Solanum lycopersicum: one gene and its partners. Each later gene encodes a partner of the first gene's protein in a complex. Links are inferred from orthologs where the notes say so. Each region holds a gene or a part of one and is shown in the gene's direction. Other genes may lie near its edges. The genes, in order: suppressor of mec-8 and unc-52 protein homolog 2, putative serine/arginine-rich splicing factor and serine/arginine-rich splicing factor SR45a.

Region 1 (2,334 bases):
CTGTCACCTGTACATTAATGAAGAGCTGGGGGAGGGGGTCCCTTTTGCCCTTTTCTTGTTCTTTTGTTGGTGGTGAGTTATCTCTTCTCTTCATTGATAAGGAGCTGCACTTCTATATCCTTGTTCTGTGTTCTGACACAAGTTTTCAATATTGTACAGGGAAGACAGTTATATCCAATGGTTATGACGAAGTATTGAAGTCGGATGCATCAAAGAGCCAAATTGATAAAGAAACTGTGCATCCATCTGCACAACTTCCTAAAAAGAACCATTCAGAAAGAAGAGAGGTTCAGGGACCTGTTGTTGCTAGACCTGAAGAAGAAGATATCTTCATAGGGGAAGGCGTTGACTACTCCGTTCCTGCTGGAGATATGGGTCAAAGCCCTGTATCGGAGGACATGGAAGAATCTCCTCGAAACAAAGAGAGAACCTCATATTTCAGTGAACCTGCCTATGGCCCAGTACCTCCATCTGAGCCTTCTCATGATTGGCAATACACGGTGAGTCAGTTTTGAGTTGTAAGGCATTAGATCATTCCTGTTTAAAATGCTTAACAATATTTTATGACAAAATCTGCCTAGATTCTTTTTCCTACATTTATACGAAGAAAGGAAGAAATTGGATGCCCTCCATCGTATTTGTCGACTTTACTTTATTTACTCCCTTAATTAGATTTTACTATGTGTTGCAACTATTACTCATCTTTTGATTGTTGAATATGTTTGATCTGTCCAGAATGGATATGATGCAGCGCAAGCACAAGCGGTAGCTGGTGTTTACCAACCAGAGTGGCAAGATTATCAGTATCCTGAACAGGTGGCTTATCCTGAGCAATATCTCCAGCAGAATTATGATATGCAAGCTGATGTTGACGGTCTTCAGGATCCACAGTTTATGACTCAAGAAGAAAAGGATAGAGGCCTAGGGTCAGTGTTCAAGAGGGATGATCAGAGGCTTCTGCAATTGAGAGAGAGAGATGCCAGAGAGAAGGATCCTAACTTTATTTCTGAAAGCTATTCGGAGTGCTATCCTGGTTACCAAGAGTACAATCGTGAGGTTGTTGACAGTGATGATGAAGCTGATTTGTCAAAAATGGACATGGGTGGACGCGTAAGTGATACTCTGTTCTTGCTGAAGATTATGCCATTTCTTAGTTCACCCCTTCCCCCGTACTTTTGAAACCTACAAAATGTTGGTCCCTGTAAAGGAAACTTCAATTGCCTCACATAACTGAAAATAATTACATTTTTTAAAATTGTACGAAGATACAACTCTAATTTTTCTTTGATGTTGTGATGCATTGTAGGCAAAGGGAAGGCTTCATCGTTGGGACTTTGAGACAGAAGAGGAGTGGGCGACATACAATGAGCAGAAGGAAGCAATGCCGAAAGCTGCATTCCAGTTTGGAGTGAAGATGCAGGATGGTAGGAAGACGAGGAAACAAAACAAAGACCAGAAGCTTACGAATGAGCTGCATAAGATAAACAAAATACTCACCAGAAAGAAGATGGAGAAAGACAAAGGTGAAGCACTTGAAGACGGTGAAATACAACCTGGAAAGAAGCAGCGTGTATGAACAAACAGACAGATAAAACTTTGATCTTTTTGTTTTTTTAGATCTTCCTCTACATTTTACTGTTCAGAATATCTTGAATTTGAATTAGTACTATGTCTTGATTTAGTGTTCAGAATATCGTGTCTTGATTTAGTGTTCAGAATATCGTGCTAGTATAAACACGTATCGCTTTATTTATTTTAAATCTGAAATATAAATGTTATTTTATAAAATACTATAACATATATGGAAATTTTTTATGATGATTGAAGTGGATTCTAATTATACAAGTTAATTTTTGTAAAATATAAGGGGTTGTTTGTAGTTGATTAGAGTATATCAATATTATTAATGTAGAGACTAGTTATTAGTGAATGAATGTATTATTACTTCCTTATCCTTATTAGAAGTGAGAGTTGAGGTTTACAGTTATGTGAGGCAAATGAAGTCGTAAGTTTGATAGTGTTTAGGTTTTCAGCTCTAGATTTCCTTGATTTTGAAATTTATGTTGTTTTAAAAAATTTCTTGCTACATTTGTACATGCATGGTTTAAATTTTATCTAATTTTGACATGCATTAGGAGATGGATAGAATAGTAATACTTTCATCTAATTTTGACATGCATTAGGAGATGGATAGAATAGTAATACTTTTATCTAATTTTGACATGCATTAGGAGATGGATAGAAGAGTAATACTTTTATCTAATTTTGACATGCATTAGGAGATGGATAGAATAGTAATACTACCTCCTTTCACATTAGGAGATGGTGGAAGGT
Region 2 (3,706 bases), on another chromosome or scaffold:
CTCACTATGATATTGTCTATTTCTTTTTTCTAATCTTATACGTAGGGAACCACGAGGATTTGGCTTTGTGAAGTTCCGTTATGCCGAAGATGCAGCTGAAGCAAAAGCACACTTGAACAATACAGTTATTGGTGGACGTGATATTAGGATTGTTTTTGCTGAGGATAATCGAAAGACCCCTCGAGAAATGCGCAAGGTCTTAAGCACAAGGTGCATATATGTGGTTTGCTTCAAGTTGCAACCATGTTGATTATCAATCTCTTTTCCAGCTCAAGTGTTATTCACCCACTTCACTGAATCTAAGTCTACTACTTTTCCTGTTTAACTAGTGGACCTAGTGCTCGAGGCAGCTACTGGAGACACAGTTCACCAAGTCGTAGATATCACTGTCAGTTAGAATTTCAACTCACACTTCTTTATAATAGTTGTTTAGTTTCTTAAGAACAAGTGTTAGAGTCAAAAGTTTTTTTTTCCTCTAAAGATTAATGGTTTAGAATTTCTATGGCAGCTTACTCGCGCTCGGCTTCTCCAGCAAGACGTGACTCAAGGTCTGTGTTTCATAACAGAAATTTTGCTTGTTGTTCTAGTATTATTTACTTGTATTGAAAGTAAGGACTGTAACTGATTCTAATGGGACAAAATTTAAGAAGAATATCTATTGGAATGTAAGAAATGTGAAGCCTGTAGTCGTATCAGCAACAAATTTGTTGCCCTACTATGCATAAGTTCAACTATCAAGACAAAATTAGTCCCTTTTCCTACATTTAGATAAATATTTTTCTGAAGAGAGACTTAGCACATTGATCTGCTTGCGTCTCTTGCTGTATTATGGTGCATGCCCTTAGTCAAAACTTCTTTTTTATAAATTGCAGTTGTATGCCTTGTATATTTAAGATGCTCTGTAATTGGGTGCTATTTATCTCTTTTTCTTTCTGTTATTTTGTAATGCTAATATACTTTTATACATTTTAACCTTTCTTTTGGTACATATAGTTCCTAAGTTGGGAGTTAGTAGAAAGGAGAGATAATTGACATTGGTGGATCTTCCCCAATTTTGTACCATTTCCAAAAACTCAGTTGGTATCTGATGGTTTTATGCTTGTTCTTCCTCTTTGGCGGTTCGGAACGTAGGAGAGTGAAGTAGGATGGTTTATTTGGTGAAGTGGTGGTAGCATCACTATATCCACTTGATTTTAGGAATTGATCTTTTCTTTAGTTATTTGTCTGTTATCTTGTGTACTTTGAATGCCGAGGCTTTCTCAGTCCCTTTGGCTGGAAGCTTTTTAGGCTCGTTGGCTTTCTAATTTGTTGAATACTCACACTATTATCTTGAGATTGTGTCAAATTTCTAGCAGGCATAATTCATCTATCCTGTAGATTTTTGAATGACATCTGCTGGTGGCTTTATTAATGCAGATGCTAAATTGAGAAAGAGACTTAAAGAATTCTGGACTAATAAAGACAATTGAGAAAAGGGACCATATCACCATAAAGTCAAAGACTCTTGCTCATGAAATGTGATGAATCTCCAGAAGTTCCAAATCACCATCATCAAAGTTCATGTGATTTTCCTTTTGTGGATTTTTTTCTAGTAAGGGATGAGCTTTCTACTGTACCATGGAGAACCAATTGAAGTGGTCTGGACATATTACAATCACAAAAGGCCTTCATTTGCTTATCTTAAAATTCATGTTTAATTTCTAAACAATGCACAATGTCCAGTTAGGGAGATAATTTAGAGCTTATAGTTGGCAAAAGAAATCATCTTCAAAGTGGCAATAATTTTCGAAGCTTTTAGTCATTGACATTTGGTGAGAATGCTTGAGGAAAGATATCTCGAGATTTTTAAAGTTGGGCAAAGGAGAGCTTTGAAGTGATCAGATGCTGAAGAACTGTATCATATAGTGTGCTTAAACAGTGTCTGGATTAAACTGTAGTTTTTTCCAGACAATGAAATGAGGATACAGGTAAAGGTTTTGGTTTAGTAGATAAGATATTGAATGAATCTACCTTTGTGGTTTTGTTAAATGTCAACTTTATTTTGTGAGTTGGTATAGCAGTCATTTGATGACCAGAGCTAGTTTCTACTTGTTTGCACTGCTTTCAGCAGCAATATCTATTGCAAAAACTACATTGCATTGCACTTTTTATTAAGTGGCTTAATTACACTATTGTTCACAGGGACAGGGATCATGAGAAGAATCATGATGATGATTACTACTCGCCAAGGAGATCCAGGTCACAGTCTCGGTCTATTTCTCCAAGGGATGACAGAAATTGTAGGTCTAAAGGAAGATCTTCAAGACAATCAAGACCAATGTCAAGGTCAAATTCTCCATGCATTCAGAAAAAAGGCAGGTTCATCAGCATGACTCCAAGAGATAATAGTCAGATTGCTCATGATGTGGACTCCACCCCAAGGAGGCTCAAGAGTCCTGGAAGAAATGGAGGTAGTTCAGCCAGATCTCCGTCTAGGTCCTACAGGTTTGTGAAGATGTCAATTTTGTGAAGTTTGAATAGGAATTTTTGAAATCAACTCTGTCGATTGAAATCATGTCTTTTCGATATTTCTGTACTCTGTTACATTTTTTCCTCCTTCATATTCACATACACCTATCCTTTTAGTGGATCCCGAGGAACATCGTGGAAACACCACGATGCTCTGCATCGAATCCCACCCTTTTGATGTAGATAGTTGGTGGTTGAGCTGTTGCCTTGACTTGACATTTAATTTTTCGAGTCATTATGTTCTCTTGGATTTGATTGGAAAAGTTGCATACTACTGCTGGTGACGAGCTTTGTCGTATAGTATTTGTGATATGCTACTAACCTGGTTCTATTGGTGATCTCCCCTTGATTAATTTGACTAAATTGTTCTTTTTTACCATCCCTCCTTGCAGTCGTTGACGGTTTGCTCATTGTTATCACCATCTGCTGATCTTTTTTGGAGGTCTTGGGAATATCTTGGTCTAGATGATTGGACACATGCAAACTATAATAGATTGTTACATCTGTTATATTTATGTTTTGTTTCTTTTTGTCCATCATGTCACTCTAGACCTATGGACTATTGTAATATATAGCTGAGTCGTGGGTTGAATTTGGTTATTTCTGTTTATGTGCTACTTGTTCTCTATATATGAAGTTACAATGGACTTAAAGCAATGTTGCTACTTGTCCTCTTTTCTCATGTAACTATCCTTGTGCCTCTGATATCTGTGTAGTTTTTGCTCAAATCTTTTAGTTTATATAAATGAATTTTGGAATCCATTCTAAAGTCATTAACAACTCTTTAAAGGTTGTAAGATGGGTGAATCACTAGATGATCGTTTTCCTTTTGATAAGAAACTTATTTTTAAAAGGAAGTCACAGAAGAATAGTACTCCCGACCTAGTTTGATTTGGCACGACATTTAAGAAAATAAAGAAATTTTTGAATCTTCTGGTTCTAAATTAAAATTATGTCAAATATACAAAAATGTTTTTTAATCATGTAACTTAAACCTGTCATGTGGAGGATTGAAATTAAAATTTTATTAAAAAAAAGTGTGTTTTTTTTAAACAGGCTTAGGAGGAAAGTAGATTTTTTTTTTTTTTGTAATAGAGAGAATAATCGTTTTTCAAGTATCAATTTTAGCAAACAATCAAGGACTAACTATGTTTAGAAATAAACTTTCTCTATTTTAAAATAAGTTCTATTTTAACAA
Region 3 (3,760 bases), on another chromosome or scaffold:
TCAGATCGGAGCAGCAGCGCCACCAGAGCCACGTGACTGGAGTCCATGGCTTGCAGAGAGAATCCAGTGGCGGAACAATCAAAGTTCGCATCGTTCACCAGATCCTTAATCGATTCTAGAACTTTCTTCAGCAGACTTCCCTGAACAAGACGTAGTTCCAACATTTTGTCCTCTGCGGGAAACTAGGGTTAGGGTTTTGAAATGGGGAAGGAGGGAAAACAGAGGTGTCTGAATGAAAAATAGAGCGAAAATGAGTGGAGTAATGGGGTTAGGGTTTATATAGCTGCTGGAAAAGTGTGCTCGAGAATATAGGGCTCCCTATTGGCGGGAAATGAATTGTCAGAAAATAAAATAAGTTCCCGCCATTATTTTGATTTTGGGCTACTTGAGCCCATAAATCAATTGGGCCTGCTTCGAGAAAGGCCTTGGGTTTTAATCTCTCATATTCAAATAGAAAAAATTACGCAACAAAATAGATTTATACTATTAAAATTACTTATCATAGTTATAATTTACTATAATTATCACTCGTAATTAATATTATACATTAATTACGTGAACTAATTTTGAGTTTGTATAATAGTCACGTTTGTATATGTATAATTCGCCAGAATATACAAATACATATGTATAATATATAATTATTCAACCTATATATATACAATTCACCTCTCTCCCCTCTCGCTCGCCTCTCTCCTCACTCTCCCAATCTCCCTCACCTCTCTCCTCCCTTTTCCAATCTCGCTTGCCCTATATACAAATGTATATGTATAGCATACATTTACACACACATACAATTCACCTCTCTCCCACTCTCTGCCCTGTCTCGCTCGCCTCTCTCCTTCCTCTCCTAGTCTCGCTCGCTTCTCTCTTTCTTCTCATTCTCTCACTTTGCCATATATACAAATACATATGTATAATATACAATTACTAAATGATATACATGTATATTTCACCTTTCTCTCACTCTCTCCCGGTCTCGCTTGTTTCTCTCCTCCGGTCTCGCTTGTTTCTCTCCTCCATATAACACATAGTTACGAATTATAATTATTAAACTATAGTTATAGAGAGTAATTAGCTATTTTAAATGACTATATACGAAAATTTCTCCATTTAAATATGGATAGAAACAATTTTTTTTTTTTTTGGTTTGGTAGAATAATGTGACAAATTCAAGTCCAATCAAAAAGGATTTCGTGTCCCTCATCTAGAAACTTCTTTACGCTACAGGTATATAGTAGAAAGCCTTTCCCAACCGAGTCATTTTATTTCGAGAGCCTTCGCAAATTAGAGAGAGAAAGAGAAGTATTTCGATCCTACGCTACCATAATCTCTTCACGGTGAGTCTTCTTTTTCCATCTCTTAATTCCTTTCTTCGATACGAATTAGCTAAAAAGCTGATGAGATTGTATGTCATTTGCGTTTGTGATCGGCATCAACGTTTGATTCAAATTGAATTTTCTATTACCTAAGCGGATTAGATGATTCTTCCGTTCATTTTTTGCCCAGAACATAGAGAACTAAACAGTCTCGGTCGATTTTTGGTTTATTGTGTATTTTTGTCTTTGAGTTGATTTGTGATTTTGTTGTTTTGACATATAGCAATTAATGCTTTTCACACTGATCCTTTTGAATTCCAGTACATCCACGGGAGCATAAATATATATAGATGTGTAAAGCGTTACCAGTGTTATAGATTTAAAGTCAGAATTAAAGCATAAAAGTGGAATTGGTTCAGTTCTATTATCCTTATATAAAAGTTTTAAGTACTTGATCCGCCTCTATTTTTATCAGTAGCTAATTGTTGTTGTCTGCTTGGTTTGACAAATTTCAAACTATGATCCTATCGCATAGTTTGTTATCCTTTAATCACCAAGGAGAACTTTACTTTCTACTTTTATGATTGCTGGGATTCTAGAAGCTAAAAGGTAAAGTAATAGAGGAGAATATAAGATGGGAATTAGGAAACCTTTAATTTAAATCAAAAGATAAATTGATGTTCCGTTATTGAAACGGAGTAGACAGAGTGAGGCAGAGTCGATTTAGAGGAATTATATTGTCTGCATCGGTTAGTTTTGTATTGTTTGACAAATCAGTGATCTTGATTTGATGGTTTTACTTACTATATATCTGCTGGGTTTGTGATAAAACACCCTGTTTTATCGTCTTTCTTCTCAATATTATTAGCCTAAGCTTACCATTCTGTTTGATGTTAACTGCAGATGTCGTACTCCAGGAGGTCAAGGTATTGTTGGTCTTAATATGGGTTTTATATGGTCATTATTCCTAGTCATGTTCAATATGACATTTATATTGCAGGTATTCTCGCTCACCTTCATACGATCGATATAGCAAGTCTGTCTCAAGGTCCAGATGTGTTTCAAGGAGTCGGTCAAGGTACATGTTGGCAATGTTCTATTAATATGGTGGTAATTAGAGTTCATGTTATTTAACTTTATTATAATGGCAGGAGCTGTGATTCAAGTGATGTTGAGAACCCAGGGAACAATTTGTATGTGACTGGTCTCTCAACCCGCGTTAAGGAGCGAGATATTGAGAAGCATTTTTCTGCTGAGGGGAAGGTATGTTTGTTGCTTCTTCAGATTGCCTTCCCGTTCTCTGTAGTCAGTTCATTTAGGTCTTTTGCACTTTATTCAAAAGAAAAGAACTCCGTAGGATTTGCTCCCATGTGCGTTCACATTGTCGAGGATATCAACCTCATTAAATGCTTTTTTCTCTGGTTAGGTTGAAGATGTTCGTCTTGTTTTAGACCCATGGACCCACGAATCTCGTGGGTTTGGTTTCGTGACGATGTCCAGCGTTGAGGAGGCTGATCGCTGCATCAAGTCTCTGAATCGCTCAATACTTGAAGGCAGAGTTATCACCGTGGAGAAGGTAGAATTTATTGAATATTTGCTCAGTTTTGTTGAATCTTATGTTTGCAATTTTCGCTGGTATCAGCTCTCAGTTGTATCAATATCTTATATTTGCTTCAGTAATTTGATCAGTTTGAAAGTTGTTTGCTTGTTTCGCCTGAGTTTCTTTGGCAGCAAGGTAGCTGTGTGTAGCAGCTCTTCACCAAAGTCCAAATAACAAATCAAAACACATCAAGCAAACAGACTGTCAACCAGAGGGTTGTAGCCTTCATTTTTCTTTATTCAGCTGCGCCCTTGTTGCTATTGTTCATTTTCTATTGGTTACTTATATCGTGATATTGTTATATTGCATCAACCTGCCAGAGTCTAGATTTGCTGTCTGACAATTGTATCCTATGCAGGCCAGGAGGAGAAGAGGTAGAACACCTACTCCAGGAAAATATTTGGGGCTTAGAACTGTTCGCGGTATGATATTGTATCCTTTCCTAAGCAATAATTGACCTGGGTTATTTGTCTGTGATGTCTTCTAATTTCCACCTTGTAAATGTAGTTCGTCGTGAATCACGAACTTATCCTCATTATTCAAGGAATCACTCTCCTTGTTACTCATCTGAAAGCTACAGGAGCAGGAGCAGGTCTTACTCTCCATATTACCGACAAGAGCATAGATCATACTCTTATTACAGAGGACGCCAGAGATCTCACTCATCGTATTACAGTCGGCACCACTGCTACTCAGAATCACCTTATTCTCCTTACTATAGTCGTGGAAGATCTTACTCTCGATCTTTATCCCCATATAATGGGCGTGATCGGTCCTACTCTCCAGATGACTGTTATTACAGAAGGAGCCGTTACCATGACTATTCTCCCGACAATCATCG

The links.
Region 2: suppressor of mec-8 and unc-52 protein homolog 2 (region 1) and putative serine/arginine-rich splicing factor share a complex: the UniProt entries of both Arabidopsis thaliana proteins name them as parts of the spliceosome. The link is inferred for Solanum lycopersicum from reciprocal best matches to the Arabidopsis thaliana genes SMU2 and SCL28.
Region 3: suppressor of mec-8 and unc-52 protein homolog 2 (region 1) and serine/arginine-rich splicing factor SR45a share a complex: the UniProt entries of both Arabidopsis thaliana proteins name them as parts of the spliceosome. The link is inferred for Solanum lycopersicum from reciprocal best matches to the Arabidopsis thaliana genes SMU2 and SR45a.

What each region holds. Positions count from the first base shown.
Region 1 is NC_090806.1:9,689,374-9,691,707, forward strand, and holds the end of suppressor of mec-8 and unc-52 protein homolog 2, read left to right. Parts: intron 1-159; coding exon 160-500; intron 501-735; coding exon 736-1,110; intron 1,111-1,306; coding exon 1,307-1,576; 3' UTR 1,577-1,788; downstream 1,789-2,334. UniProt on the Arabidopsis thaliana protein: Auxiliary spliceosomal protein involved in splicing of specific pre-mRNAs that affect multiple aspects of development.
Region 2 is NC_090800.1:76,022,268-76,025,973, reverse strand, and holds the end of putative serine/arginine-rich splicing factor, read left to right. Parts: intron 1-45; coding exon 46-210; intron 211-329; coding exon 330-388; intron 389-508; coding exon 509-548; intron 549-1,416; exon of another isoform or gene 1,417-1,967; intron 1,968-2,181; coding exon 2,182-2,484; intron 2,485-2,900; coding exon 2,901-2,907; 3' UTR 2,908-3,165; downstream 3,166-3,706. UniProt on the Arabidopsis thaliana protein: Involved in intron recognition and spliceosome assembly. Probably active at the 5' splice sites.
Region 3 is NC_090805.1:50,114,432-50,118,191, forward strand, and holds the start of serine/arginine-rich splicing factor SR45a, read left to right. Parts: upstream 1-1,217; 5' UTR 1,218-1,340; intron 1,341-2,222; coding exon 2,223-2,245; intron 2,246-2,319; coding exon 2,320-2,397; intron 2,398-2,470; coding exon 2,471-2,582; intron 2,583-2,745; coding exon 2,746-2,895; intron 2,896-3,277; coding exon 3,278-3,341; intron 3,342-3,426; coding exon 3,427-3,760. Other genes in the region: PCNA (proliferating cell nuclear antigen), read right to left, coding at 1-164. UniProt on the Arabidopsis thaliana protein: Probable splicing factor involved in constitutive and/or alternative splicing events. May bridge the 5' and 3' components of the spliceosome.